Linked DNA regions of Arabidopsis thaliana. The protein of the gene in region 2 purifies or fractionates together with the protein of the main gene of each other region. This does not show direct contact. Each region holds a gene or a part of one and is shown on either strand. Other genes may lie near its edges.

Evidence for each region.
Region 1: the proteins of SYP43 (region 2) and EMB2753 purify together in Arabidopsis thaliana (affinity purification with mass spectrometry, with the first as the bait; one large-scale study listed by BioGRID). This does not show direct contact.
Region 3: the proteins of SYP43 (region 2) and AT1G20970 purify together in Arabidopsis thaliana (affinity purification with mass spectrometry, with the first as the bait; one large-scale study listed by BioGRID). This does not show direct contact.
Region 4: the proteins of SYP43 (region 2) and AT3G06610 purify together in Arabidopsis thaliana (affinity purification with mass spectrometry, with the first as the bait; one large-scale study listed by BioGRID). This does not show direct contact.

Annotation. Positions count from the first base shown.
Region 1 is NC_003070.9:30,230,431-30,238,126, forward strand, and holds the start of EMB2753 (tetratricopeptide repeat (TPR)-containing protein), read right to left. Parts: upstream 4,556-7,696; 5' UTR 4,403-4,555; coding exon 4,352-4,402; intron 3,865-4,351; coding exon 3,786-3,864; intron 3,402-3,785; coding exon 3,319-3,401; intron 3,212-3,318; coding exon 3,062-3,211; intron 2,893-3,061; coding exon 2,777-2,892; intron 2,460-2,776; coding exon 2,354-2,459; intron 1,958-2,353; coding exon 1,886-1,957; intron 1,795-1,885; coding exon 1,679-1,794; intron 1,476-1,678; coding exon 1,343-1,475; intron 1,172-1,342; coding exon 1,094-1,171; intron 1,011-1,093; coding exon 957-1,010; intron 856-956; coding exon 785-855; intron 639-784; coding exon 584-638; intron 489-583; coding exon 393-488; intron 128-392; coding exon 1-127. Other genes in the region: ATXRCC1 (BRCT domain-containing DNA repair protein), read right to left, coding at 5,014-5,298, 5,426-5,512, 5,592-5,705, 5,798-5,883, 6,054-6,165, 6,256-6,444, 6,545-6,733. UniProt on the Arabidopsis thaliana protein: Auxiliary subunit of the NatA N-alpha-acetyltransferase complex. Required for male gametocyte development, embryogenesis, suspensor development and the formation of the quiescent center (QC) in the root meristem.
Region 2 is NC_003074.8:1,682,309-1,689,769, forward strand, and holds SYP43 (syntaxin of plants 43), read left to right. Parts: upstream 1-2,694; 5' UTR 2,695-2,953; coding exon 2,954-3,177; intron 3,178-3,491; coding exon 3,492-3,768; intron 3,769-3,861; coding exon 3,862-3,951; intron 3,952-4,172; coding exon 4,173-4,244; intron 4,245-4,323; coding exon 4,324-4,401; intron 4,402-4,495; coding exon 4,496-4,561; intron 4,562-4,643; coding exon 4,644-4,724; intron 4,725-4,813; coding exon 4,814-4,921; 3' UTR 4,922-5,250; downstream 5,251-7,461. Other genes in the region: AT3G05700 (Drought-responsive family protein), read right to left, coding at 124-232, 497-762, 864-941, 1,229-1,371, 1,940-2,015; IMPA-7 (importin alpha), read right to left, coding at 5,684-6,089, 6,285-6,412, 6,513-6,641, 6,828-6,906, 6,982-7,145. UniProt on the Arabidopsis thaliana protein: Contributes to the regulation of secretory and vacuolar transport pathways in the post-Golgi network, and to the maintenance of the Golgi apparatus and trans-Golgi network (TGN) morphologies.
Region 3 is NC_003070.9:7,311,340-7,321,825, reverse strand, and holds AT1G20970 (calponin-like domain protein), read right to left. Parts: upstream 7,926-10,486; 5' UTR 7,655-7,925; intron 7,513-7,654; 5' UTR 7,489-7,512; coding exon 5,247-7,488; intron 5,151-5,246; coding exon 4,912-5,150; intron 4,826-4,911; coding exon 4,667-4,825; intron 4,565-4,666; coding exon 4,385-4,564; intron 4,167-4,384; coding exon 3,972-4,166; intron 3,875-3,971; coding exon 3,776-3,874; intron 3,698-3,775; coding exon 3,077-3,697; intron 2,940-3,076; coding exon 2,580-2,939; 3' UTR 1,905-2,579; downstream 1-1,904.
Region 4 is NC_003074.8:2,057,167-2,063,559, forward strand, and holds AT3G06610 (DNA-binding enhancer protein-like protein), read left to right. Parts: upstream 1-3,448; 5' UTR 3,449-3,670; coding exon 3,671-3,802; intron 3,803-3,900; coding exon 3,901-3,956; intron 3,957-4,442; coding exon 4,443-4,509; intron 4,510-4,586; coding exon 4,587-4,679; 3' UTR 4,680-4,987; downstream 4,988-6,393. Other genes in the region: AT3G06600 (uncharacterized protein), read right to left, coding at 2,392-2,757, 2,983-3,105, 3,200-3,292; AT3G06620 (PAS domain-containing protein tyrosine kinase family protein), read right to left, coding at 5,667-5,796, 5,937-6,031.

The DNA.
Region 1 (7,696 bases), on a different chromosome or scaffold from region 2:
GATCTGCTTGTAACATACGCTTAACGCATTCACTGTTTATATAACGATCTGCTAGGTCCATGCCTCTAGCTTCATCGGCAAGTGCAGCAGCGGCAGTCAAGTCTCCTGCATGCTTCATTATTCGGCTCTGTGTTGAGAGAAACAAGTACAAGGGTTAAGAAGAAACAAGAACATCCTCACACAAACAAGATAACCTGATCCAGGGTGTGCACACAATATAGAAATTCTGTTAACACAATCGCTATAACTAAAAAAGTTCAAACCCAGCCATCCTGTCAAAAAAGTTTTCAAAATGTGTCTCCACACATAGTGCAAGCAGCAATAGTGACACCAAAAAAACTGATGGATCAAAAGCTTATACGAAGATTTTTGGCCATGATAAACAAGGATACCTTGACGGAGTACAGATCAATCACTGTTGGCGTATGAGCAATGGCCTCATCAATTTTACAGAGCGCAACATCATATTGACCACGCCTGTCATAATGCTGCATTATGAAAAATATGTATCAAAATAAAAATACACAAAACGTAAAACTGTTAAAAAATAGAGAGAATTAAGACAGCAATAGCAAAAGTGAACCTGAGCCAAGAAAAACAATGTCCACAATAGTGTAGAAGGGGGCTCTTTTACATCACTGCATCAATTAAGAATTAAACAAAAGAATCGACTGATTATCATTAACGTAGAGAACATTTCAATGTTGTTTTGTAAAAAGTAAGACCTTATATAATAGATGACAATAATTCAGTGACTACTTCAGTAATGGATTCAGTTGTATACCTTCCTGGGAAACTTCCTGTAGTCCCAATCGAATGTTTCATCTCAACAACTAGTTGCTCCAATATATCAGGCTGGGTAACAAAATAAGTATTAAAACATATTAAAAAGTAAGGTGTTGCCCAGATCAGTGAAATTGGAGACAGCAAGCTCAAGGACAAAGCAGGGAACTAACCTTGCGAGGGTGATCATACAGAGAAGAGAGATCAGAAAATAATGAAGGAACACCCTGAGACAAGTATCAAGAAATGTAAGAACATATTCAATTAGACCACTGTCTAAACAAAGAGATTCAAGGGAATGAAAAGATACCTTTGTCAAAAGAGGTTTAATGTACTTTGCTACAGCCTCCTTAAAGTTCTCATCTTGCAGAAAATCCAATGGTATCCTCTGAAATGGGGAAATAGAAAATAACTTAATACCAGTTTTAGAATTTTACGTATCAGCAGCCAAAAAAAACATCAGACGGGTAAAACATGGGTAGCCACTACTAGCTCCCTATGAAGTAGAAGGATACTAGAAAATGTATTACACTTCAGGCACTGATATGCCTTATCTCACCTTAACAGCGGATGACCGAGTGTACTGCTCACTTAGAGACTGGTACAAAGCATTTAACTTTTCAATCTGGTCGGACGAATATTGACCACTTTCTGAATACAATCCAAGGCATTTTTGGAGGCCCTCATGATATCTGAAAAAGCAAGGAATGCACTTTTTATTTGTTTACAAAAAATTGACAGTACCAAAAATATATAGAAGCCTTTGAGAGTAGCAAAGGTATAGACCGCCAATGCCAAAGATAATGAAGCAGGGCAAACAGATGTGACAATTGAGAAAAACGAAAAAATACACAGATAATTTCTTTAGAGCTACTTTGAAGTGCAAGGAAAAAACCTGTAATTGTCAGGGTTCATGGAAAGTAAAACCCTGTAGAGTTTATTGGCTTCTTCTAGACGACCAACCTTTGACAAGAGAGATACCTCTTGTTCTTTGTAAGACAACTTATCAACCTACAAACAAGCAAACGAGGAATGTTAAATCTACTATTATGTGTGCATCCTATTATCCAAATACATTCAACCATCAGTTTTGTGAACTTACTATTTTCGGCTCTTTTTTGTGCAACTCCTCAAGAGCTTTGTCAAAAGAACCACTCTCCTCAAGCAAGGAAACCTGAAACGAAAAAAAAATCCAGATGAGATTTCCTGCAGCTACAGCTATGAAAAATGTGCTAATGCCAACTGTAGGTTGCTCAAACAGGGAAGTTTCAGGGGGAAAGAGTGAACAGAACACCACCACTCCAGGTGGCTTGGAGAGACTTTCCAGGGTTCATATCCAATTATACTTGAGAGAGTTATGCTTTTGTCACAAAAGAATACAGGTGTGATTCACAAAATGTATGATACAAGCAGTAAGCCATATTTTGTATCAACCAACTTGTACTTTTGGTATTTTCGTCAATAGGAGAAAAATGTGTGAAACCCGTTTAGGCAAGCATGATTTTTCAGGGAAAAAAACTTAGAAAGACAACAGTCAATATATGATAGTTGTAAAGTTTCTGGTTGATACCTTGTATAGAATCATTTCTGTGTGTTCAATTAGCTCGTTCTCAGGAGGATAGTCATCCTCTAAGGTGCCTTCATACGCTTCCAAAATTTCAACAGCTTTAGAAGCACTGGTTTCAGGAGAAAATAGAACAAGTTAAGAGATCAAGGTTGATATACATGGCTAGCTTTTACTAGTAAAGAAAAGATGTTCACAGAAAATTCTACTGTATGTTCATTGGTATATTATTTCCTAAAAATCTGATGCAAGATTCGTACCAACATAGGCATCCACTATCTACTCCTTAAAGTGTTCAAGACTATAATTCCAAATCATATGCCATTAACCAGCTAGCCAATAGTCCAAAGAGGAAAAACTAGCATTCCATTCAAATGAGTAAAGTGGTTTAACATATTTAGATTTATGGGGTCAAGGACAATAACATACTTTGCGTTTAAATGCTGAGAGACTGCAAAGCCAATCCAGTTCATTCGGTGATTAGGCTTCAATGTCAAAAGCTGCTGCCTGGTCTCCACAAAACCGGATAAGTCCCGCATTTGTGCCTAGGAAAAAGAAAGTAACCAATATGATTAACTATTGAAAGCATCAAAAGAGATTAAAATTGGAACAAGCTTTACACAAAGTAAAGTGATAAAAAGTATGAAAAATCAGCTTTGAGAATAACTGGCACACCTAATAAATTCACCTCAATCTAGTTTTTCTCATAATTACCTGCAGAAGTGAGAGGTCTCTGAGTATTTCAAGGTTATCAGGATCTATTCTAAGAGCATTTCGGTAGCATTTGATTGCTTCTCTATACTCTCTGTCTGACCGGTACAAAAGACCAAGCACATGCCAGCAAACATGGCTTTTGATATCATTCTGCATGAAAAAATTTGAAGTATATAAATCCTATGTTACCCTGAAAACAAAATACCATTTTGGAAACTAAGGAATAAAGTTGTGATTATTGAAGAGCATATTCAAACCTTCACTCCAAGTCGAACAAGCTCATATGCTTCAGTTTTGCGGTCCATACAGTTTAGAGTCAGTCCTTTCATCGATAAAGTCTCTGAAAATCACAAACAATAAGAGCGACAAGTTTTAAAAGAAAGAAAAGAATAACGAAAAGGGTTGACAAATCAAAAAAAGCAAGAACTGCGTTTAACACGAAACAGAACTGGTCTCTACTAACAAAACTAAACAATACCAAGCATTACCCTTGTACTAAAAAGTTAATTTATTTGCTCTAATAGGAAGAAAGAAAATAAAAATTCTAACAGTGATTGATTCTTAAGACTATAGACAAGACAACGAAGCGCCTAGTAGACCTACAAGTCATGAGATCTCGGTTGATGTATGTAGTATAGAGTTGTAAGTATTTAGATAGCAGTAAAAAGATTAGCACTAAATCACAAAGGAATAGAAGGAGATATTAGATAAAAGACAAACTGACCTCCATGATCAGGAAACTTTTTTAATATGGCATCAGCTGCCTTGAGTCCCTTCTTGTACTGCTTAGTCTCATATGATTTCTGCATTATAAGATTACTCAGAATAACTATATATGATGTACTTACTTGCGAAAATTACATAAAGAAAAAGGTCAACTATTCAAAGCAGGTTGAACAATATAATGGTTAAACCCAAAATCTATGCTGAAACCATATATATATTGATAAAGCTTGGTTTTCAAGTTCTTCAAAGTAAACTACGAATCCCTGAGCGACTAAAAAAGCCCAGAAGCAATCGAGGTCTAATAATAGCCGATAGTCAAAAGTAACTGAAGCTAAGAACTTGGTACATCAAATTAACACATTAAGGAACCACAACTCCGCACAGTTTACTTCATATGTCAACGAATTTTTCTATTGACCCAACACATTGACGATTAACTTAATTTAGGGTTTAATAGAGCAGATAAAACTCATCGTATTCCAATTTCTGCTGACCAGGAACATCACATCGCATGTTTAAGACAAAGTAAAAACTGAGAAAGAAAGAGAGGGAATCGGAACATACGACGATGAGCTTGAAGAGGTTGGCCTCCTTAGGAGGAAGCGAAGCCCCCATTTTATTGCGCTACTGAGAGAGCTCGCGAAGACGAAGACGGAGAAGAAGAAGAAGAAGATGTTCTTCGCGAGTTCGATAGGGTGAGAGAGAGATAGAGGTGGCGTACTATCCGCTTCAACCCTACTGCGAAACAAAGAAAGGCACAACTCTCACAAGACAAAACCCAATAAGGGTATAAATAAATTAGGGTCTTGTCTTCAATCAATCTTCTTCGATCCTAACCATATCGGTACATGTTTCCGGTTTCAATTCGTTTGTCTGATATTACAAAACGGTTATTAAATTGGATAGAACCAAACCGGTTCAAAACTGGAGACATCTGAACCTAATTGACCAAATCAAATTTGTATTAACCGATCAAATTCATCGTCAATCGACACTAAAAAGTATCAAATCAAACCGACTTATTAATTGCAACCGATTACATCTCTCAATCGAATCCAAACCAGCATAAATAAATTCTAATTAGAAACATTCTTTCCGAACCAAGCAGACCGGATTATTTCAAATTTTTATCAGTAATAACATCCTACTCAAACCGAACAAACCGAGTATAACAAGAATTCTTGGAATTCCTTAAGAGATCATATGCAAAATGAAACAAGTTTGATCTAAAGACACTCTAAAGAAACGTTCCTATAAGCAAGTTCGATCTCTTCTTCAGTCATCTCAACGGTCATATCACTGTCATAGCCACAAGCAACCCGAGAGGTCGATTCATCTTCGCCCGGTTTTGCTAGCTCAGCTTCGTAGATCTTTTTCCACGACTTTGCTTGTTTGCAAACTTCTTCCTTTGATGCTGTTGAATTTTCCTTTTTAGAAGACGATTCCATCTTTCCAAGCTCCTTCACTACACGAGGGACAAAGCTCCATAGCTCTGTAACTGATCCAATGTCCTAAAATTAAGAACATTCGAGAATAAATTCAACCAATGATCTTCTCAAAGAAACTGATCAAAGTTTAACAAATCCAAAAATGTACACAGGCGGCAACTATTATTGTTCAGACTTCAGAGATATTAACCTGCTTCTGTTCAAGAGAATCTATGGCGTCTTGTAAGCAGGTTAAGACTCCTTCCGCAGCTATTCGCTTGATTTCGCCTGGTTCTGGCTGTTACAATGGCTTTAGAATAACGGAAACATACAATCAAGAAAACATGTCTTTTGAAAGAGCATATTAATTCCCTTACTTTTTCCTCCTGACTCTCAAGCCATGAGATGGTTTGACTTAGGTCATCCCTGGCCCATTTCTTCACCTCTGTAACAAAAAATGGCTCTTTCACAAGATTGCAAGCTGATCTATTCTGTGAACATATGGAAATAAACAGTCATAGACCATTGATTGGAGCAAAATACGGTTCGTTTTGGTTAACCAAATCATCAGATTTAAACATGCCTTGGATGAGGTAGATGGTGTTCCCCTTGTTTCTGTTTTTTTCTCTACTTGCTTCTCTGGTTTTTTAGACAGGTGTTCTCTCTTTTCTGAATACAATCAATTAAGGTTCACAGAGTCAACTAAACATCGGAGTGAAGCAGTGCAATAAGAAAAGCTTTTCTCTTGTCATAAACGTAAAAACAAGGTGATTTGATGAACCTCAGGATGGTTAAAACGGAGATTCTATCTAAAGCCTTTCCAATATAATTCTTTTTACCTCGATTAGCATCTTGGGGACTACTGCTTTTCCTCCATGGTTTTCCAGCATGCATAAGGTATTGCTCGATATCTACCAACTTCTTCTGCGCATAACACTCAGTTATCCACTCCTGGAGACAGTGAAATCATATAAAATATCAGCAAAAAGGAGAAATTCAAATCCGCACACAATCCCTTATAAGAAGAGTCAAAGAGGTAACCTTTGAGATAATTGTTCCACCATTTGTTTCAACTTGACGGAACTTTGGAGTGTTAGGAAAAGCACAAATCAACAAGGTAGAGCCAGCGTTCCAGTCAGGTTGATAGGTGGCTCCCATTGTCAAGGCTTGTGACCTCAGTGTACTCCTCTCAGGATTAACAAAGCCCGAAAGTACAAAAACAACGCCTTCCTGCATAGTTTAACCTTCAACTCAATCACAAAAGCATATAAACTAACATGACAGCTTAAGATAATTGAGTCTCAACAAGACCATGAAGACACACACAAACCATAAGTTTAGAGAATTCAGTGGTATTTGAACTTGGCTCGGCGTGTTCTGACTTGTTGGAAGGGGCATTTCTACTGTTGTGCTCTTCGGTTGGTCCTTCATCCTTAGGCTTCTTACAATGAGACTTACTCGGAGTAATCTCGGGATCCCTAGAACTCATCCAAGAAGGAAGATTTCGCTTCTGAGACATCTTGTCCTTTACAGTGGAGAGAATACTAACACAGCTTTCGTCCTACAAAGAAACACTATTATGAACCTAAGCCACTAGTTACTTGAAACTCCAGGAAAATATTGCTATTGCATCGCATCTAGCACAACACAAAGCCAGAGAGAAAACGGTGCAAATCTGCAAAAAATGTAAAACATTCCCTAAGAAAGACAAATCTTAATACAAACGAATGGTATAACCTTTTTTCAATTTCAACATAAAAAAATCAATGGACAATGGTTTTAACATAACTCAGTAGCACTGAATTTGAATTCGAGTTCAGATCAAATCACACTGGAAAATTGGAATTGAATACCAAAAAAAAAAAAAAAAAAAAAAAGAAGAAAGACATTGCAATTAACAGAACATCGCGAACTTCGCCATAAAACCCTCGAAAACTAAATCTACCCATGTAAATGAGCCAACACAGAGGAGAAGACTATAAACTTGAGAAGAAAGCGAGGAACCTTTAAGTGCTAGCGCTCCCCCCGTGGCTTCTCTTTGATCGAAATCATCAGAGACTATTCAATTTGTCAACATACAGTACAAAATCAGATCAAAATGACGGGTTTTCAATTTAACAAATGATTCAACTAGCAAAGGTGGACGTGCCGGAGTGGTTATCGGGCATGACTAGAAATCATGTGGGCTTTGCCCGCGCAGGTTCGAATCCTGCCGTTCACGCTTTTTTTTACCAATTTTTTGCTTTGACTCTTTCATTCGCGTTTTTACTCTTCTGCCCTTTTTTCTTTTTTTTTGGACATCAACTTGTCTGCCCTTTTAGGATTTCTAATGTTTCATTTTTACGGTGGAGGGGGTTTATGAATTAAAAGAAGTACAAAACCAAGGTCAAATTACCATTACTAAATCATTCCTCGTTTCAATCTTTTTTTCCTAAGTTAGCTCAGTCAAATCCTTCGTATACCTACAATGAGCTCGATGAAT
Region 2 (7,461 bases):
TACACTCATTCATAATCTCTCTCCTTTATTTGCTCCCCACAAACAATAATTTCGTACTTTGTCCTGCTGAGACAGAACATGGAGTTTCCTCATTGCTGACAAGTTACCAGAAGCGATACTCCATTATAAGCTGTCATCAAGAATCGTAGAGCTCAATAGCTCTCGAACAAACTCACTGCGTTTCAACTTCTGCTTGTGATCCTCAGCTGAAAGAGAAGTTTTTTTCGCATTCCTATCATCCACAAAACCTTCATCAGTGATCCATACATGTCCTATATGGGTATAAGAACTCAACTTGATCAAAGAGTTTCAGTTTGGCTCATAAATCCCAAGTGTGCCCAAAAGTAAAACATTGAAGCAAATGTTCCAATGGAAAGTTATAGACCAAACACTTAAAATAACCTAGAATCATCTAGGTTCAATCAGTCTTGAAATACCAGATTTTTACTAACAAGAGGTTAGGCAAAGTAAAATGATTGAGAAGAAGTAAGCATACTGTTCGGGTAAACACTGAATAGTTGTTTTCTTGACAGGACCCGTTTCTGCAGATATGCATGACTCCGTGGTGAAGAACCCATCAGCAATAGGAGAAATGAACGACGATAACAATGGGTCAGCAGCTACATTGGATGATGAGGAAGACGATACTATACACGAAGATCCTCCAAAGAGGCTCTGAAAGTTTCCATCAGGAAACTCTCTCCTTAAGATCGATAATGTGGAATATGACCCGCCTCTTCTTGGTTTTCTCTTGCGGTGCATGTAATATTTTGTCAAGAACACAACTTAATAACAGACTATAGAAACACTGATAGAAAAGATTGATTGTTATATATGACTTGGGAGAAAGAAAAAAAGGATATCTTGAAAATATTAGCGTGCTGAAGGGTTATATGAGCAACCATGTCAACACCCACCCTAACCGCACAAACTGGACATACCTGCAATAACAATGTTCACTAGATTAAACGCTAAGTTTTCATAGAATCCAAACAAAATCCCCCAAATATCAGATGCAATAGATACAGCTGATCCTACTATTCCTTCGTGAATCGGCTATAAACATGCTATTATTCTCAGTTTTCTTTGTCATATCATCCAAGTAACAACAGAGGAGGAACCAACACCGCTCAGTCTAAACTTTTGAGAATCATGTGATGAATCAGAAATGTATAAACGCATCTTTATGCTTCAAATGGTTGTTTTAAAAAAGAAATAAGAAAGTTACCCCATTTTTGGCTTCCATAGGATGATCTTCATCTATGTGGCAGCAGAGAGAGACAATATCAAAATAGTCAGAACAGAAAGGGCAAGCAAACTCTTCCCTGAACTCTTCTTCTCCATCTATCTCTTCAAACCCTAAGAATGTATCTGCAATCCCAAAAACACATCAACCAAATATTTATACAGCAAAGCTATAAGAAAACAAAGAGAGTAATCAGATATACTAAACCCCTACTCTACCTCTGAGGTTACAGTATATGAAACATATTCTCCTCTTCTGAGGAGAACAATATCTTCACTTTCTCATGTTCATAAACACTGAGCATAGTAGCATCACAGGAGTAATTAAAATGCTAACAAAGACTGCAACTTTGGATAATTTTCATCCATTTTCTCAGGAATCGAGCAAAACCAGAATCAAACCATATTTCATCAGTCAATAAAAATCAATTACAAAAGCCCCCTTTCCTTCATTTTTGCTAGTATCAAGCAAAGCCTAAGGCGATGAAAAAATGACAAAATACGAAATCTTTCAAAACAAGATCGAAGATTTCTCATATATTTCTTAATCTTCAAAACAGAGATTCTAAATCGGAAAGAAAACACAAGTCTATCACCTAAACTACCTTCGCCCATCAATTTTCAGACGAAAAAAAAGATCAGATAACAATCATTTAGAACAGAGGGAGAAAAAATTCATATCATTTAAACTAACCAGATCGTGATGGAAAAGCTAGCTGGTATCTCCTCGTAGCTGAAGCGAGACGATCACTCCATGAATCGGAATCCATTATTGACAAAACCCGGAAAACAAAAGTCGAAAGTTTTGTACTTTTTTCCTTAACAAATAAAACGTTTTGAAGAAAATGAATCTGTATACGAAAGTAAATGATTCTGATTACTGTCTGAAGAAATCCAACGAAAATGGTAAAGACAGATTATGAAGACCACGATTCTGGGTCGGTTTATTAACAAAGTTTTGTCTTTCTTTTTTTCTTCTTCTCCTCGTTTTAATTAATTTTGGATAGAGAGTGAGAGACAGAGGAGACAAGTTCTATAAATTATTTCTTTAAATTTATGTTTTTTATCTAAAAGAAATTAAAACGTTTGCTTTCAGTGATGAATCAAATATTTCGCGGAAAAATAGAAAAACAAGAAAGTGTTGGGCCACTCTATAAACTCTTTTTGTAAAGTCTACGAAAATGCATGCCGTTTTTATTATTTTACCCGACGTATAATTGCATTCAGAAACATGACGTTTCCAAATAAAACGTCATGCTGTTGTCTTTTAGACACGTGGCGTGTTTTCAGTGGTTTTATTTATAAGATTTCGCAGTTAAAGATGCACGCAATAGCAGGAGATTTTTAGCCCCGTTCTTATGTTTTTTCTGACTTGTGACTTTTTTTTTTTTTTTTTTTTTTGTGTCAACTGTTTATTTATTTATCGATTGGATGTTTTAATTAATTTTCGAAATTATAGTTAAATTTCCAATTTGTGAATCTGGGCGCTGTTTTTCTCCGTCGGAGAATTTGATCCCGCCGGAGATCGGCCGGTTTCCGCAGTCGCATTCGTTTCTTTCGCGCGATTTTCGATGCTTTGTCTATGATGAAACCGCGATCCTGTTTAGATCTATAGCTTTCGATCGGAAGGGAAGCTAAAATCCATCTAGACGCCGAGATCTTGGTTAGCTATCACTGAGATTCTTATAGGGTTTATATTTGAGCTGTTATGGCGACTAGGAATCGTACGCTGTTGTTTAGGAAGTACAGAAACTCTCTCAGGAGCGTTCGTGCTCCAATGGGGTCGTCTTCGTCGTCGACATTGACGGAGCACAATTCGTTGACCGGAGCTAAATCCGGATTAGGCCCGGTGATCGAGATGGCGAGCACGTCTCTATTGAATCCAAATCGGTCTTATGCTCCAGTCAGTACCGAGGATCCTGGGAATTCGAGGTACTTCTCATCCTCTCTATCTCTCACTGCCATTGAAATGTTAGAAATTTGGTGATTGCATTAGAAATTAATCACTTCATGTAGCTGCTAGTGTGAGTTGGATTATGAATTTTTGAAGTAAGTTGTTGATTTAGCAGAAAATTTGGTATTATCCTGAGCAATAATGTCTCTTATGGATTTGGAATTGGTAGCTTGATGTTCAGCCTTGTTGTTTCAGCTACTGATTGAGTATTAAGAGAATAGTACTTGAATATATTTCTGTGGCCCAATTTGTTGAAGTTGAAAGTTTTGCTTCTTGTTTTCCAATGTCCTAGTAGAGGTACAATAACAGTGGGCTTACCACCAGATTGGGTTGATGTATCTGAGGAGATTTCAGTTTACATTCAACGTGCAAGAACCAAAATGGCTGAATTGGGAAAGGCTCATGCGAAAGCGTTGATGCCTTCGTTTGGGGATGGTAAAGAAGATCAACATCAAATCGAGACTTTGACACAAGAGGTTACCTTCCTATTGAAGAAATCTGAGAAGCAACTTCAGAGGCTTTCTGCAGCTGGACCTTCTGAAGATTCAAATGTCAGGAAAAACGTCCAGGTTGGTGTACTTGACTTGATGTGTCTCTTAAACGCATGTCCTTTCATTTCCCATCAACATCTCAACTTTAAAATCTCATGTGTTTTATAACAGCGATCTCTTGCTACGGATCTCCAAAACCTTTCTATGGAGTTACGCAAGAAACAGTCTACATATTTGAAACGTTTGAGACTACAAAAAGAGGTATGCAATGACGCACTATACATTTCCTATGTCCAAGACTTCACTATTTGTAATACTGAGTTGCTCTCGAGTTTTTGGATCTGTTATGCAGCTGTACTCTAATAAAATTTTGGTTTCATGAGTTTCATACATTCTATTGTTAGTTATTTCTATGATTTTGAGGACAATTACATTTTGTTTATTCCCAAGAAGTTTTGACTTCTAGCTGTGATGATCATCAGGATGGAGCGGATTTAGAGATGAATCTGAACGGAAGCAGATATAAAGCAGAAGATGATGACTTTGATGATATGGTATGACTCCTTTGTCCCAATCTTATACCCATGATTCATCTTATGTATTTCTGTAATAATGCAATATATGACACTACAGGTATTTAGTGAGCATCAAATGAGCAAGATAAAAAAGAGTGAGGAAATATCAATAGAGAGGGAGAAAGAGATTCAACAGGTTAATGTTTGCAGATCTTACCGCTCTTAATTGTTACCTATTTCATACACAATCATAATCTTGTCACTTTCTTCTTGTTCTGCTTCATCTGCAGGTTGTTGAATCCGTAAGCGAGCTTGCTCAGATCATGAAGGATCTGTCAGCGCTTGTGATAGACCAGGTACAACACTGTAACTGTTGTCTAGCTTCTGAGCCACTGATTCTAGAAATTCTATAACTTGAAAGCAAACTTGTCGTGACAGGGTACAATAGTTGATCGGATTGACTATAATATCCAGAACGTTGCTAGTACAGTCGACGATGGTCTCAAACAGCTGCAAAAGGTAAATTTCTCTTTACAATCAGTGTGTATACTCTCTCACACCATTTCATGCCTAAATTTTTAAGCGGAATTGCTTGTGAATCTCCACAGGCGGAACGTACACAGAGACAAGGAGGTATGGTGATGTGTGCGTCTGTTCTTGTCATTCTCTGCTTCATCATGCTGGTACTCTTAATCCTCAAGGAGATTCTGTTGTGACACAAGGAGATCCCTCATTTTTTAATTCTTTTGAAACGCGAACACCACAATTTTTGCGTTGCGGAGTGTTCTGTCCACAAAATGTCCTGAAGAGAAAAACGAACTGTGTTGTCTATCTCGCTCAGTGGCTTTTACTGCAGCCTCTTCTGCTTTCTTTTTTATTTCTTATGGCGTTTACATAGGAAAACATTATCACTTTTGTATTGAGTGTTTGTAAGTTGGCTTCTTACGAGTTTATAATGGATTTATTTACTGTAAAGAATATATTAACCATGATTTTAAGAATCTGTGGAGAAGAGATCATATAGAACTGTAACGTTTGTTCCAGATTACAAGCTATTAAATAGCCCATTATCCACTAGGCCACTATAATACTACGTACTGACCAACATTGTCATTACCAAATAAAGCAAGCAATGTAATTTCTAATCTCCATTTGCAGTAAATGTTATGAACAGATGAGGTGAGTGTATGTTTGCCTAGACCACTTGTCCTGCATCATCAGTAAGACACCAAATAAGAGCTGAAGCTTTTATATGAGACTGAACCGAACTAAAGTAAAACTCATTAAACCCAGCCGAAACAGAGTTGCTTGGTTTGAGTTTTGGTAAGTTTCTCTCAGCCTAAACAAAACCAAACCAGACTCTCTGATCTAGAACAAAACGTCTACTCCTTAATGGTCGGATCTTGTTATCCTATCTAGTCCATAATGAGTAAGCAAAAAACCAAGTAAAGTTACCAGAAGGAAATATATGTTACCTCTTAAGGTCCGCAGTGCATCTCACTGAGAGTGCCTGAGGATGTTGGCATGTTTGCAAAGTTGTCAACTGGGAAATATATCATGTCTTGTTGTTCTTGATCTTCTTCTTCTTCTTCTTCCATCCAGTATGTTTCAAGAATCTTCACCGCAGTTTCGTAGATGTCATTGTTCTCATGAGATTGCAGGCCCTCGATTTTCTCCAGTCCCTCTGCCTCTTCTATTAGCTGAGCATGTGGGTTTACATTTGTTTGAGGACATTGGTAAATACCTTCAGCGTGTCTTGAGCTGAAAACTTCTCCCACCTTTAATATTTTTTTGAGTGCTTCTAAACAAACCATGACGAGTTGAGTATCTGAGCATGTAAGAAGATCGCACAACGGTTTGATGCATTCTTGCTTTACTAGAAACCTGTCAAGACATTAGCAGATCGCATCAAAGGACCTGCTGAAAACTCTACCAAAAAAAGTTGTAATAGCTTCAATGGAATGAGACCCATAAGATTTAGTTCTGCTGTTTGAACTCTTTTCATGACTACATTTATACTACTGAATATTTGATGGTCTATATGGTTCCTGGTTTTGTATTGAGTTTTGTTCTACGTACATGATTTGCTTGTAAGAGCCTCCAGCTATGGCGTTGCAGATAGCCCAGGCAGCTTCCTTCTTAACGTCGCCCTCAGAGTTTTGGAGCAGATTAACAAGTGCAGGACATATATCAGCATCAAACACAGCCTATGGAAAGATAATAAACAAGTGCAGACATATATTCAGAGCAACATCTTAATTAGACTGCGATTAAAAAGAGAAGTTTAGAGACGGTATATTGGCTAACCTGAATCTGTGACTGACAACCAGCTGTGATATTAGAGACTGTCCAACAAGCTTCTTTCCTGATGGTCTTGTTATAGGATCCCCTTAGAAGATTTACCAAGCATGGGAGCGCTTGAAGATCAATTATATGCTAAGAAAATCACAAAGAACAAAAGTTCTGAGAACTCACTTGTGATAAATAATCAAATACTCTGAGAATTTTTAGTTGACAAAGATAACAGTAACAGTAGAATATCCAGCGCAAAATGGAAAAAGAGCAGGGATTATATTAAAAAGCGATACTAATACTAAATTTTATCTCTGGCCGCATATTTACCTGAGTTTGACTATCGTTTCCAGTTACAATATTTCCAATGGTGCGAAGAGCGGGAGTGATAACTGAAGGCGAACGGTGGCTGTTCAGAAAGCAAACGGCCATCAGAATCTATGACTCTGGATTTTTTTGGTTAGCTAAAGTCCTGAACACTCACATCGAAAGACCAATAAGTCGCGCACAAACATTGGCTTCAATCACGGCTTGTATTTTTTCATTTGAACCATCAGAAAGATACACCAGCGCCCAACACGTGTAAGCCAAGAGTTCCTTGTCGTCTAACCGAATGAGTTGTGCAAGAGCTGGTAATGCAGCACTCACCTGTGAGCATATGGTAATAAGTAAGATGTCTAAAAGAATACGACATTCATCAAATCCAATCAGAAAAAAGTTTACTTAAAACGCGCAAAGAAAATTAGCAGGATCACTACAGCAGTGTGGATCACAAAGCTAAGGTCAAGAAACCATAAAGAGAGCGTGAAAGGTTTTCAGATGCATTTATTAATGCCAAAATAAAACCTTCAGGTGCCCTGGTTACAATGATCATATGACAAAAAAAATATTCTTGGGGTTTGTCCTCACCCAAGAATCAAACCTTGTTTCCAGAGTTTTTACAGTATTAAATATTCCAGTGCTA
Region 3 (10,486 bases), on a different chromosome or scaffold from region 2:
AGAAGCTAATTCATTATAATAAAAGTTTGCATTTGCTTACGACTTAATGTTAGCATTGGATAAATTATACACATCTGATAATACAATGTTTGTGTTTTTGTTTGCTAGCTGCCTGGTTAGCCGCGTATACTAGATGAAGTTATTAATTTGGTTTCAACATTATGCTTCTACAGAATTTTAAACACATGATTAATAATTTCAAATGTGGCATTATTTGATGTAAATAATAGAACTGAGACGATTGTATTTAGTGTGTCGCCCCGACAAAACTCTCTTCCCACATTTTCTGGAACAAAGTGTTATTTTTCTTTTTATATTCTATACTAATAAGAAAATAATGCAAAACCGAATCGGGCAACAAAATGTAATGTAACCATGAACCGTTGGAAGAAAAAGGAAAATGAAAAAGGAAAGAGAGTCAAATGTCACATGGTGGTCCAAAGTCCAATCACAGATCAAACGTGCAATGTATTGAGCCTAATCCCTCAACATCCTCATGCAACATGCTTCTTACCACGAACAACGGCGGGTTTTTGTTTTTATTTCTCATATGAATTGAAATATAAATCAGTGTTGTATTATGTATATATGTGTCCCATCTCCATATATTCTATGCTAAAGGTTCACAAGATGATTGGATTTTTTTTGTGTGAGAGGAAATAATTTGCCAATTCTGAGTACCTTTACACGTATATAAACAATATATATGCCCTCGAATCTTTTTCATGTTTGATAGAGTTGGAATATATATGTAAATTGATCCATAACTATTCAAGTACTACTAATATTAATGGTAGATGAAGGATATCGCGCGTTACAAAAGAAACGCTTAACACGTAACTACGTTTAAATTTTGTGAATAAAACTTGAAAATAAATCAAACAAAACATTTACGTTTTAATAAACATCCAATAATGCATCTGTACGTTAAAAGAAGAAATTTCATGAGTAACTCTTTCGTACTACAGATCTAACATTTTTTTGTTTGAATTTGAGTGTAAGGTTCATTGGACGTGGTCATGACTCATGACTATATTATAAGTACAATAATTTTCCATTATCATAACCACTTACTTCAATGGACTGTTCTGTGATGTGAAACCTAGGATCTGACAACTTAAATTTAAGACAAAAAAACAAACATATAAATCATTTTAATAGAAAACCTTAGAAGGTTTTGAAAAAAGATTTAAGATATATAAAATGTAATGTTAAACCATTCATTTTAAAGATTTGAGCCTTTGAGGAAATAAATTTTCAAGCACATCTGAAATTTGAAAACAATGGTGAGTACTGAGTGGCTTATATATGCTTAGCAATTAGAAAGTTTTAATTTGTTTTGTTTTTGTTTTGGCCTCTCAAAGGAGCTTTACTTCTTTATATATAACAAGAACCCTCGTTCCCATATAACGATTATCTTTACGGGAATTTTTTTTGTTTCAAATTATGGTTTTACATTTTTTTAATTTTATTTTGAGTTGACATTTTTCGATTTCATGTTAATGAGAAGGACATGAAAACTAAATAAAAAGAGTACTGCAGCAGAGCGGCAGCATATGTCACGTGTCTTGTGAATGTAAAAAGATTCGGCTGCGTTTGAACGCAACTATTTTTCTAATCTAAGTTTTTCATGTTACAAAACTAACTATATTCAACTAACTATTTTATCCTTAGTAAAATAGTTTGTGGGTCATGTGAAGGGATTAAATTTAGTCGCTGAGTCAACATTTCGGATCATTGTTGAGTCCCCATTTGGCCGTTCATGTTACTTCACCAATTACCGTTAGTTATTCTATCAAAATTTTAAACTCTGAACTCTAACTGTCAAAACAAAGAGTTCATGTCAGATTAAAAAAGGATAATACGAGTCATAGGAGGTTAAAAAGAAGTTAGGGTATTGTGTCATCTTTAAGCTAAGATGCTAGCATTCGGTCGTATCAATTGGTTATGGCGTTCTAGTCAAACTACTGCGGTTGTCAAGGCAAAACGTAGCGCTACTGCGACTAGCAGTTCTCGTGCGCCTCATAGACTGTTCCAAAATTTGATCCCGAAGATGATTTTGATGAAGGGGCAAATATAAGACTGAATCCAGTGCTGAAACTGGTGGAACAGTCTCATGTTTCTCTGCTCTGTCCTTAAAAAGACTAGGGAAGTCTAGATGGACGATCTCTTGGCACTGATGAGGAACCACCCCTGGATGACTTATGTGACAAGAACGAACAATCGTAGAACTTCTAGTGACATAACAAAGAAAACAAGAGACTCTTCCACCAGTTTATATATCAATCGAAAAGATGAGAAGAAGTTATTGCTTTAATAAATATATTATGGTATATTAGAAAATAAAAAAAACTGGAACCGTGTTTCTTAGACATATATACCCAGAGCAAGCAAAACCAATCTATATGTCTGTCGTTCGTGTGAAATCAATGAATCAAAGCTTCCCCACTTAAAAGAAAAAAGAATAAAAGCACCAACCACAATCCAAACTAATTTAGATGAGCCAAAAAAAAACATACTATAAAAAGCACAAGGCAAAGTGTGTAAGAGTGTGCCACTTCTTCTTTCTTTTTTTATTCTTATGTAAACCAAAGATTTGCAGGAGAGGAGAGATTGGCATTACCGAGAAGGAACAATGCGATGATGATCACAACTATGAGTCCAATCCACATCCATTGCCGCAGTTTTCTCTTGCTTCCTCGGTTTCTTAAAGGCAGAGGAACCGATTTTGACTTGTTTTGTTTCAGAAACTGTGATGAAGGTTTGTGAGATTTCTTCATTTGTTGACTCTCCTCTACGGTTTGTTTCTTTGGAGTTTCGATCTCCCTTGGGGTTTCGACTACAGTTTCTGCTGTCGGAATTGGGTTTTCTGTTGCTGTCTCTTCTGATGTAAAAATCCCCTTTCTTCTCTCCTTCTTCCTTAGCTTCTTCTCTCGTTCCTACAAAATAGACAGAGTTGTTCAACAGATCCATGGCATAGTATTTAAAATAATTTTTGTCCCAACAGAAACATACTAGCTAGAGAGACTGATCGAAATCCAATTTGGATAACAGAATGACAAAAATATGCTTTTACCTTCTCCCTTTCTTCGGCTTCCTTCTGAGCCTTGAGAACAGCTCTTGCTTTTGCCTTCTCCTCTCTCTTCTTCTTCCTCTCCATTGCCTCTTTCGCTTTTGCTATTTCCTCTAACCGATGTTGCTCCTTCATCTTTGCAGCTTCCTTTTGTTTTCTCTTCTCTTCTTCTTTCTTAATTAACTCCTCTTCCTCTTTTGTTAACTTAGGCGGCTCTTCTTCTTCCGGTGTTGCTGACTTCTCTATCTCCTCTTTTCCAGAAACCAATTCTGTGACAATTGATGGAGGCTGGTCTGGCTTGACGGCCTTTTTAGATTTAGTGGTCTGACTCTTTTGCTCGGTGGGTTTAGCAACCTCCTTACCGTTGTTTTCAACTTTTGAACCTTCAAATTTAACGACTTTCTCTTTCTGTGCTGGAACTGCCTCATGTTTCTCTGCTCTGTCACTAGAAGTTCTAAGTTTGTCCGTTCTTGGAGCATAAGTGATCCGAGGTGGCTCCTCATCAGGGCCAAGAGATCGTCCATCTAGGGTTCCTAGTCTTCTAAAGGTACTCCTTGTGTTGCTTTTTACATAGTATTTACGGAACTCGTCGTCATTGTTCCACATATTCATGAAATTCTCCACCTGCTTAAAGACTGAAATGAGTACAAAGCCGACATACAGGGATTGAAAACGTAGTAGAAATTTGGCTTCTGCTTATACCTGGTCAGAACAAAGGCTTTGCAGTGCTGCTCTGTCTTTCTTCAAAGCCATTTCACTTGCTGCCCTTGAATTATCTCTGTACTTGAAGAAATATTTGTTCTGCAATACGAAAAAATAGTAAAAGTGAAGGATTTAATAAAAACCTCAGATGCAAACATTTGTAAGTTATGTCCACTTTCAGATGCTCTTTGGGTACCTTTTCTCGTTGTTGTTTCTTCAAATCCTGTAGGTGCACAAATGCTTCCTGGCGAACAGCATCAGCAGCTCTGAACTGTTCTTGCAGTTTACTCTGTGCTTCCCATTCCCCATCACACTTTTTTTTCGCAGCTTTTGTGATTTCTTCGGCTTTTGATAGATCGTTTCTGAGTGCGTCTAGTTCCTTCCTCAACACCTGTTATCACCAGAAAAGTCAGTTTTGAAATGTGTAAATGATATCCACACATAAAGGATGAGATAACTAAATCACCCGAATGGACATTATGCAAATAGATGACATAAATGCACTTGAACGGATAAATAGGTTGAATCAAAGTAGAGAGAGAACGGGTAGTAACTAAATGCAGATAGGACGTAAAAGATGACTGCTAGGACGTTTAAACTGTAGTGTACCTTCAAACGTTCTTCTGTTTTCTCTTTCTCATCCAATGCTTGCTTTACTTCATCCTTGGTACCCATACTCGAAGATATCTGCTCGCGAAGTTGCTTCAACTGCTTTATTTCACGCATGAAACCTTTTTCTTCATTCAGAGATAAAGTTGTGTGCTGCATCGTATGTTCCATATTACGCACCTGATTGGAGGCAGAGAAATAAGATAGATTAGCATAATCAAATTAGACAAGCTAAAAACTTGAACAAAACTTAGCTGGAAATGTGATCATTGGGAGTCTCACCCTTGAATCAATATCATCAACAGACGCAGCACTTTTAACCCGGCTAATCATAGACTGAAGGGCCTCAATTTCCTGCCGTTTTGAATGCATTGCTTTTCTTGCAGATCTCTCTTCTGCCATGACCGCCTTGTAACTGATATCATAGTCCTTACATATTGCCTAGAAATAACAATTTCAAAAAATGTCAGAGGCAAATTTAGAACAAAGATGTTTTAGCATATGAAAATCTCAAAAGCGTTTCTTACGCGTATCTTCTGGATATCCGCTCTAAGAGCATCCCGATTTTGTGTTTTCTGATCAACCTGCTCTTCAGCATGCTTCAGTTGCTCGGCTAACTTTTCATCATCATATCTAGGAACTCTAGGCAGAAAGTAAAAAGGTCTTTTCTCTATCTCTGCCGCTACAGTAAGCCCTTCAGAAGCATCAAGTACAGAAACTTCACCGGTCGAGGCTACTTTATCATCTGTTCTATCAACAACATTTCCTGAACACAACAATTTATATATACTGTCAACTCCATCCTTCTGATTCTCAACAAGAGAAGTACATAGCCTAATTTCATTTTTAATTAACTTATTACCTTCTTTGTTTTCAGCAGGTTGGCTGTCCACACAGTCTTTAGCTCCTGTATGTATGGTATCAGTAGATGTAACCACTTTAGATTCAAGATCCTGTGCACAGGTCTTGATTTCAGATGCAACTGAGGCAGTAGCGACTTCTTCATCTGTATTTATCGAAGATCTTTCTTTGACGTCCGATTCTTCCATCTCAGAAACTTCTTTAGGTGGTATATCCTCGCGCACAGCAACAGGAGTAGTCTTTGTCACGTTCACTTCTGAACCACAATTGACTTCTCTGTCTATTTCACCATCTTCAATAATGGATGGAGCTACATGTGCTTCAGCGCATTGTTTAATTGATTGAGCAGCTTCAGATTCCATGGCAACAGCGTCTATTTCGCCAGCCACTCCTGCTGAGCTTTCTGCAAAGTCAGAGACAGCAGTTTTGGTATCCAACAAGCTCAATGGTTCGTCGATGTTTGTAGAGAGAGTCTCAGCACTCTCATGTGATGCATTCCCAGAAAGATCCCCTGTAGGTAATTCTTTCGCTTCTTCAGCAGAATTTAGACAAACATCACCACCAACATTTAAGTTCCCCTCGCTATTGTCTCCTTGAACTTTCTCATTTGGAGCATGTTTTACATTCACATCGGTAACTTCTTCCAACTCAGCACTACAATCATCTTGAATTGTCTGGTTAGTGTCAACTCCATGATCCTCTGATAAACCTTGACTTTTGGTGTCATCGCTTACAATTACACTCGTGTCATTCGCAGAAGACACAACCTCATGTAGCGCATGGGATGGGAGTTTTTCAACTAGCCCAGATATCTCATCACTTTCTGATCCCTGCTGGTTAGTACAAGATAAGCCATCAGAAATAGCAGCTTCTGAACCATTATCTTTGGCAACAATAACAGCATCACTTATTTCTTCTGAAGCAGGGGCATCAAGAACTTCCTTAACTTCGGATGATATGTGTTGTTTTCCACCTTGATCACAAGTAGGATCGCTGGCATCTTGAGATTCTGGATGAGTGTTTATACTCCCATCAGACACAGAGCCATCATCAACAGCTCCAATTTCCGATTGCATCTTGCTGTCTTCAGATTCTGATTTGCTATTACCATTTTCAACAACACTATCTTTGCCAGAAGGCTGGGAATCCAAGCTGATGGCATTGAGAGCTTGAGTCTCAGCAGGGACGTCACTGCTTACCTCTGATACAACAACATCCACGGTTCCAGAGTCTGGCAACACTTCACCATCGGAAGCATTGACTTTTTCCGCCACTGAAGTGAATGGAACATCACTACTTCTCTCCAACTCTGATTCTACTGGAGGGTGACCGTTTTCAACAGAAACAGGTTCCAAAACTGTTACAGGTTCTGATCCGACGTGATCATTCACAGATTCAGATCCATTGATGGTTTCAGCTGGATCTGTTACCGTAGGTTGTCCCAAATCCATGCCTCCATCACTAGGCTCAGTTGGAGAAACCTTAGCGCTCACCAACTCAGACTCCCTTACTTCATCTGAGTCAACAGGGTGCTTTTCTACATTCTCGTTAAGTTTTAGATCTTGAGAAACATCCAAATCCCGATCAGATTTTTCTTGGGCTTCAATCTTGTCCCCTTGATGTCCCTCGACATCTGTTTCACTATCAGATTCGATTTCAACTTCAGGCTCCTCTACGTTATTCTTTGTCAGATCCTTGGATCCAACTTCAGAATCATGAAGTTGCTCCACTTCCTCTTTAGATTCCACTTTACCCTCAAGCCCACTTTCTAGATGCCCATTACCAGGATGCTGCTGGTCGACACTTTTTTCAAGAGAATCCTCAACTTCCGACTTTGGGATCTCAACGACTTCCTCTGGTCCATCATCTGTACTTTCTAGCTCAGACTTTTCCAGGGTTTGACTATCTTGAGAAACTCCCAAAACATCATCATCGGCAATACTTGGAGCATCTACCTTCACATTCTCTCCTTCCTTAAGATCTTTCTCCACATTGGCATCATCAACAGGCTTAACATAATCAGACTCTACAAAATCATCTCCAACGGTATCATTCTCCGTAATGAAATCGTAAGAACCATCGGTATCGTTCCCGTTGCCATTATTACTACCACCATGGCTGATCCCATTCACCACGTCCTCTTTGGTGGCCGAAACAACTACCTCCGGTTTAATCTCAGTCGCATTCTCAAAATCAACCTTCACCGACACCTCTCCTTGGTCTCTCTCTACCTCCACCGGCATTTTCACCGCTTCACGAACGATAAGCTAATCAAAGGCGTAAGAATAAATCAGATCAAACGAAATTGCAGCCAGCTCTAACGAAAATTCACGACCATAAAAAACTAAACCGACATGGACGGAGATCAGAGAAATTTCAGGGAAAATAAAAAAGCGATTTGCAACTAACCTTGAGATCAGGCTTTGTCGCCGGAGATTTCGAATGCTGAGATAGTCGGATCGGTAAGAAAGACAATGCCGGCGATTAACAGAGGAGGAATTTGAGGAAATTTTGGTCCGAGCAAAGAGAGAGTAGGAGACGAGAGAGAGAGAGAGATGAAGAAGAAGAAGAAGAAAACAGCTGGCTTAGAGAAGGAAGGAATTAAGGACGAGATCGAGAAGCCTCTTTGTTGAACAGAGGGCTTCGTTAATCTGATTTATTGTATTTATCGATTAACCAATATCTTTGTATTTTTCATATTTTGATTAGCATAGATTAGCATTAAAACTCATTTTAATTAGTAAGAAATATATATATAGTAGCGTATATTGTTGGAACATGTAAATCTTGGATACAGAGATTTATCCAAATGTTTTTATCAGTGTTAAAATTGTTAACTTCAAGTTCTGTTTATGATTGTCATCATTATTCATTATTACTAATTGCTACTATTTAATGACGTCATTAAACATTAATATCATATCCAAATATACTTTTATCCATGAAGAAAAGGATTTCATCTTTTTATATTTATGAAAGGAGGATTAATAGAACTTTTGTTGAAAATGACAAATCAATTATCTATAAGTTTCAGAAATTTTCTTATTTTGCAAGACTTTCTAATTTTTAAAGTGAAAAGGATAATTTAACTCCGAAGGGAAAATTAAAGGAGCTTCTTAATGATTAAAGTGGTGTTTGAGATAAGAATTAATAATTTTTCAAAATATGTTTAAAAATACTAATATATTGAAAAATTATCATCCATGATTATAGGTAAAAAGATCACATTTTGTAATGGACTTAATAAGATAAATACACGTGGCATCCTTTAATAGGATGAAATGCAGTTTTTGACATCACCATAGCAAGTTGTAGTATTTTAGTTAGATTTTAGCCAACAATATTAATTAACACTAATTCAAAGATTTACCATAATTCGTTATATTATCCGGATCAGGTTGGATCGGGTCGGATAAAGTAGCGCGTGAGAAGGGATGGGCCTTGCTATTACGAAAACGGATATGCGATTTCTGTTCCACATTAGAAAACGACGTTCTCATTCTTAACTCTCTCGTTTCATGAATTATATTGATTGCATATTAACGATGATTATGTAATATCTAACCTCCTAATTTTGGTCTCTTTCATTAAAGCTTTTTATTGGGTGATACAATGAAAATATTTAGTATAATTCAAATACATCAATAAGATTCAATTGTGCTACTACTATAACCGAAAAATAATTTCCCTATAGAAATTTAAATTGCATATTGTAAAGAAGATAGTTATTCTTCATTATTTATTTTTTACTGCCTAACTTGATTAAAATTTACTTTAAATAACTTAACCACAACTAAGCGATTAACGTTCATAAAAAGATACTCATCCTATATTTTCATATTGAAGATGAGAATTTTTCTTTTCCAACCTACTAACTGAAAATGACGTGCTTACTAAAACTCTAATGATATGTCGGTTTCGGTGGTAAGATTCAATAAATACAATACAAGACACACATTATCTAATGGCTCTTTTGTTTTCTTGCCTACATATTATGACATTTATTTAGTTTTCCGCTGTTTGTTTATTTAGATCTACTCCACAATAGTTGACGAAGATATATTATACGCGTAAATAGAATTGAAAAATACGTTAATATACGGAGACGACTTTAATTTGTAGTTGCCATTAGTTTGGTAAGCACTAGATCGACAATAAAGTGAGTAGCTGGTAAAACTAATTAACAATATACCAACTTGAGTTAATTCGTCAAAGAGACAGCTACACAAATAAATCAATCAATAGGCATGAACTAACTGACAATATATGCCGCAACACGAGCTATATATATCCGTCTATGATACATATTTTTCTTTATATCAAGCTTTTCAAATGTATAGGTATAAGAACTCAATTTTATGATTATCGCCTCTACACGTTGTTTTTGTGCTTTTTTTTTTCTACTTTTGTATATATTTGGGTCATGCGTGAAGCGGTGAGAGTACTTTCGGTTGGTGGAATGTCACGATGAGCTTCATCTTTTGACCTTATCAATTCTAGTAGCGGTTCCTGACATGGAAATTCACGTATACATGATACGAAAACTGTTACATTTCGTCACTTTCGTCAATATTTCTACGCATATTATTCATATATGTTATCTATTTTCTTCGTATGTTTCACAAAAAACGTATTTTGGACTTTCTAGGGTTTGTTAAAATCTCTAATAGTTTATTCATAGTATATATGGAAGGAATATTGAGACAATATTACTCGAAATTTTAATTATGCATGGATATATTCAGACCAAAATGTCAATTAGCCTCCGAAATGTATAAAACAAGATAAAGGATTTATAGTGGTCAACCCATTATTGTTATAATAAAGGATTTTGTAGTTAACTATGATACATTGTAACACATTTGAATTTTGTGGCAGACTAGCGATGATTTTCTGAATGACCTTTTTCAAATCAATTGTTACTTGTAAAAATTTGTCATTAACAACCGTAAGTGATAATCGGTAGTTAAATATTCCTTCCATATATACTAATCAAATGCAGCGGTTAAATAATTGATAGGAAAAAAAACAGCATAGGCATTGTTACTTTGTGTTTACACTTTTGAATAAAAAGTATTATTAAGTAAAACAAATAAATAATAAAAAATATTATTAAATCTTGGAATAAAGTACACCAATTTTGTCATAAATAATTAACTCCGGCAAAACTTTAAAGATAATGGAGCCACACTATGTCACATGATCGATGCTCCCTCTAATCCGCAATAGGTGCTTACATGG
Region 4 (6,393 bases), 380 kb from region 2:
TTCTCATGGGCTCTACTTCAACAACAACAACAAAAAAAACATGTATCACAAAGGTTGCTGGCTGTAATTGTTATCTTCCATTAATAGAAATAAATATATTTCGGATTGGAAGTTCAAATTTGTTACTATGAAAATTTACTACTGTAAATCATAATTCCAGCTATCTAAGGTTTTCAAATTTATTTGCAAATCATTATGTATCTCGGATGTAATGAGTTTTTTCTTATTATATTAATGAAAAAAGTTGATAAGGAAAGGAAAACTAACTATTAAGTATGATGAAGGTGGCACAGAGATTGCCTCCCTAATTCTAGACACCAAATAAACTAAGTGAACGACAGACAATGGAAGAAGAAGGACTAGTTTCTTTTTAAAGGAAGAAAAAGGGAAGTATTGATTAGATTAACAGATGATGATGCTCAATCATTGTTTTTTCAACGGGTCTATTTTGGATTGCTAATATGAAATGATTAATAGTCTTTTGGTAAATTTAACATCAACTTAACAACACTTTTCAGAGGCAAATATGAAAACACTAACCTGTGTAGTTTTTTCTTTTTTCAAATGATATTTCCAACTTCTATGTGTTTCGCTTCATCAGAAGTAGTTGATTTTTTGTCCCTGGTTTCTCACAGTGATAGCAGCCAAATCCTGTTTAAATAGTAGAAATATGATTATTGTTAGATTACGTACACTAATTTATAAGCATTTGGAAGCCTAACTCTTAAGTTGCCATCATTGTTTTACCAACAACACTGAGCAAACGTGACAATTACTTGACCAATGACAATCTTTGTTGTGAATCGAAAAGCTGAATTTCCAACCCATGATTTGCCTAGGTTTAATACCAGCTTTTCATCATACACGTGAAAAATAATTACTCCTAAATCTATAGTGGGAATCCAATTCGAAAGCAAGACTCAGTTTCTCACAAAAAAGTCATAGACTGAACTATACAAACGCCACGAAAGTAAGCAAGAAAAATGATATAGACCATTGATTACGTAATACACAAAATATGGTCATTAATCAATGTCAAGACACAAGGACAAGACTGATTAAGAGAAACAAACAAAACTCTTCTAATTGGTTTCCACTAATTTAAATCACTAAGCCGGATTTTTCTTTAATCACACAGAAACTTTACTTCAAAAGTAAACCAACAAGAGCTGCTTCTCTTTAATACATGGCATATATTAGTATATTCTCTGGTGTTTAGTGGCCTACTACTATATTAATCTCCAGTAGAAAAGCCAAACACCAGTCTGGATTATTCTGTCATTCATTTTCTATATACAGGACTAGTTTCTAAATCCTAATCTTTGTACCATTATCCATAATGGAGAATAAACCTAACCTAATACCTCGAAGAGTTTATCCTAATAGTTGTGAAAGATCAAATCAAGTAATTACCCAAAAAGCTTAACAGGCTGGACTTTCCATAGGATTTGTCTGGCTTAATATACAAAAATGTAAAGAACAGCTTGCATGAGAATGGAAACAAAGGCTAGCACATGTCTTGGTAAGATCTATATAACCTATCGATTTGAGATGCACATAGAAACAAGCATGCTATATATATGAAGCAAATAAATTAGGTGGGGTTGCATTACATTGTATCAAACAGAGCTAAGAATGGAACACATCAAGGTATATTAGAACCTAGCAACTTAAATGCTACAGAAGCCTATGTATCAAATGTGTGATGGAGAGAAGACTTTGCATTTGGATAACACAAGTCACCATAGATGAGACGATCAAGTGTCATATCAGTTGTGCCAATAAAATTTTAGGGATCAATCATTGGTTAGGACTTAGGAATGAGACTAACTAGCTGCTTATGAGGCCTACTTGCAAACTCACTCTCAACCTACCAATGGATCTAGTGAGAGACTACTTGGTTTGGGCCTAGCATGAGCTAAATTTAAAACATTCAATCAGAAGGCTTAGGAAGTTTAACATTCAACAAAAAGGACACAGAGAGAAGAAGGTAGCATTTCAACCGCATAAGACTTCACTGAGATATCTGTACTTACTTTTACTAGAGAACGTGTGTTGCAGTTATTTTTAAAGAGTGAATTCTAAAAAAAAAATAAAAAACAATGTTAGAACTGATCTTTCCTTTGGTAGACACATCCCAGTAGTTGAAATATGTTAATAGTGTTGAAGTTCAAGAGGTGCTAATAGCCAACTTAAACTAAACAGCTGTGACCTTCATTAGCAGAGATGCAACATAAAATGACAAACAGGATAAATGTGCTATTGAAGGCAGATCAGTATACAACCCCAATCTTATGCAACGTTGAAATTATTATTGTTATCATCCTATGAGAAGGAAACCAGAATCAATGTGACAAAGGTAAGAAACGTAAAGTGAATTACCTTGAAGAATCATGTTGGAAGTGGTCCACGGTAAGCACGTTCCTCTCCTGAGCTGAAGAAGACCACAATCGCAGCTAAGATAGCCCAAAGAATGAAACTCAAAAGCACAATGCGGAATTTCACAGTAACAACTCTATCGACCCAGTTAATTTCTGCAGAATTGTCAACTGAACAGATCAGTTTTTTCAGCTCATTGATCTCCCCACGCAAGGATTGCACAGAAGCGGGCAAGTCCACAATCGACTGGATCCGATCAGTAGAAGACGTGTCAATACGAGCCTCCACACTAGTAATGGTTGAAACTGGAGAATCATCAGCCGGAAGACAAATCTCTGGGGTTGACATTAAGTCTAGGCTCGATCCTTGAATAACACTCTGAGGAGAGAACAACATAATTCGAGCCAGTAATCAGTACCCAGACACATAATGGCTAAAATTGAGGTTTAATCTTTCCAATTCGTCATCAAGCGCAGACAAAATCGATTCAATTTTCGAAAATTTAACATCTAATCTTAACGGATCTGAGCGTTTACAAAGCAACACAACGAAAAACTTCGATGGAAACTAAACCTAACTAAAACATTGGAGCGAAGCATATACCTCAGCCTCGGAATCAGAGATCGCACCAGAAATCTGAGAGATCGGACTAAAATCCATCGGATCCTTCGTGCTTTCAAAAGATACGTCGGAAAATGTTGCGATCTGTCTCTTCTCCGTCGTAACCTTCAGTTCAGAGAAGCATTGATTCGAATTTGAGTAGAACGATGTGGGAAGAAGAAAACAATGGCGATTTTAAGGATCGATCTAATAAAATTACCTTCCGATTCTTCATCTCAGGATCCTTGAGTCTCTTAGCTCCGAGTTCTGATGAGCGCGCGAAGCTTTTCCTGGGAATTTGAATTTCCTTCATCTCTCTCCAATGTTTTCAAATTTGGAGCTTGTCAGTTTTCGAAAATGTGAAATAGTGAGTGAACTACAAAACTATCAAGCAAGATAATTTTATTTGTAGTACGCTTCTTACATGGGCTTAAGGGCCGATAACTATTTTTATTCAAGGCCCAATATAGATCGTTCTCGCTCATCGCAAAATTAACCTACTAAACCGGAATTCGGTTCGGTTGTGGTATTGTTTAGCCGGTTTGGTTCCAGCCTCACCCGATAGAATTAGCCTTTAGGGTTTCTAACGTCGAAGCTTGAAACACTATCGAACCTCAAAATCTCTGTTGCCGGAAATTTTCTTCACCGAAACTGAAAGAAGTCGAAAGAGAGAAGAGAAGAAATTGAAGCAATGGAGGGAGCAGAGGAAGCTGGGGCTGAGATAGCGGTTGATTCAAAGGACTTGCAGCAACAAAGCAAAGCTTTCGACAAGCTCACCGATCGTGTCGAGGATCGCCAGCTCGATTCCTCTCGTGTTCAATCGGTATGTAACTCTTTCGTGTCCTGATTTCTGAAAATATTAGGAATTCCGAAATTTTTTTAGCTCGATTAGTAAATTGAAAAGTCGGTATCGTGTTTCAGGCTATGGCTTCGATTGCTGCTTCTAGGGAGGCTGATCTGAATGCTAAGAGGTTGAGGTAAAAACTCTAAGCTTTTCCCGTGTTCTAAATTCTGAAATAGGAGATTATTAGCAATGCTTAATGAAGCTGTAACATAAGTCAAACTCGTTTGTTTCCATTCCTAATTCAGAATTAACTTGATTAATTTGATTACTGCGTTACACTTGTAGTTCAAACTGTAGCTAATCTCTCTGTACAAATTGGTGTTTATCTGTTTTTTTGGGGCTTGGCAACACTTAAGTCTATCTATTTAGACCAAGAGTGTCAATTTTGGAGAATCTGTTTGTTTTTTTGAAATTACTCACATCTAGATAGTATTGACGCCAGATATCAGTTGTGCTGTAATAGCTTTTACTAGAGAAAACACAGCGAGAATGATCAACAAAACAAGTAGAACTTATTATTAATAAGTGATTGAATGTGATTTACGAGTCAATATCATCTTTCGGAAAAGATTAGACTTTTCGTTGTATTTGATTGACAAAGTATTGGAACTTTATGCAGGGAGAAAGAACTGGCCTCTGTGAAGATCAATCCTGCAGATGTTGAGTTTATTGTAAACGAACTTGAGGTTAGCTTCTTTTTATTAGCTTCTTCTATGCATGTGTTCACAAAGTTCTGAAGTTTGTCACCATTGTAAATGAGCAGATAGAAAAGAATGTGGCGGAAAGAACTCTAAGGGAGCACAAAGGTGATGCGGTTGCTGCGACTAGGCAATTGCTTTCACGATATCCTCTATGATGGAGCAGGACCATTCTTTACTTCCAAGGTTTTTTGTATGTTTGAGAGGTTGAGAGCAAGTCTCCTAATATTTAACCGAGTTAAAATTGTCTATTGCTGAACCGATCTCTCTGAGAAGCCCTGAATACAGTTACAATCGATTCTGGGGTGGTGTTTTGTGGTTCTACCTGAAGTTTGAAGTTCAATCTTATTATCAAGATATAAGAATGTGTTCTTCGTTTACTTGGTCTTGGAGCTGTAAAAAGCTTGTGGGATAATCATGGAACATTGGTACAGTACTACTTCAAAGCAAAACAAAATAGAAATACATTCAAGTTTCTAGAAAAAGTTTGAATTAGACTGATGCACAACGAGAACTTCCAAACGAAGGTATTCATTGAAACAAGAAGTTTGTTGATCAACCTGTAGGTTAGTGATAACTTCTAATTTGACAACCTTTCAACGTAGGTATAGATTACATAAATCCCCCAATAAATGTCTGTTCCAAAAAAAATTGGTGTTACAATATTCTCTCAGAACTAGAGTTCCAAACTCCCTTTTTTTTCCTCTGTACAAAATATCATCAAATGGTTCTACCACACTTGATCGCATAAATGTTTAGTAAGAATAATATATGCAATCCAATCTCTTGCCCAACCTACCCAACTTTGCAACTTCACATCAAATCCCTTTCACGCACTTTCTTTAAGCTTCCACCAGAGAAATAGAGACCAGAACCGACCACCAGAATTACAGTAACTAACCTGAGCAATACGTTTCTTTTGGTAGTTTGTGTAATGACCCAAATACATCACAACACAACTCCCATAATTTCAGTGGCAGTCTCTGCTTATAGGTCTCCTCCACGCTGTAATTACACATCAACCCACTGGTACTACTGCTCAAACAGACCCATTCTCTATCTTTCTCTGTTCTCATGAACGTCTTTGAGTCTTGAAGCATGGCATTGAGGAACAAAAAGGTAAAAAGGCTCAACTTTTATTTTAATTAGTTGTCCTTGAGAAGAGAATTGTCAGATAACGCAGCACGAGTCGCTTGGAACTGTATCATATACTTTCTTTGCAGGTCTCTTAATTTATCCATCAGTTCTTGGAATGTGGGTCTCAGCTTTGTATCACTGCCGCGTGGACAGACCAAAATAAAAACACAAATCAATGTCAGCATCAGCTATGTAACATGTAGAACACCTAAATCAAGGAGAACCATAATAATTAAAGGCTACACACGGATTATGCAGTGTTCAATATGTTAATGTACCTGTGCCAACAGCTCTCCATTAATGAGATCCAACGAGGATCAATGTCTTTTGGGATTTCCAGCCTCTGGTCCATGAACCCCACAGCTCCAATCACCTGCACATATTTCAAATAAGCATCTCGTCATACTTGATTCGTGTATAGAGAGAGGATATGCAGTGAAACTGAAATTGGAAGTTTTCGGCAATCAAGTCGTGCAATGGAATTAGGAGTTAGGACATCAAATTCGTAGCGATGTGGTATAGTATGACTATATATAAAGAACACACTTCACTTGTATCTTTACATTTTACAGCAAGTACAATCGTTTTTATGGTTCCCACTCTCTTAACTCTCAAGTCTTAATTAGTACAACGGATTTTAACATATCGACCCTGGAACTATTCTTCTGACATAAAGATTCTAGTTATTTGTTTTAGCATAATTGACAGAACATAGAATGTAGTTTTTAAGTGAAA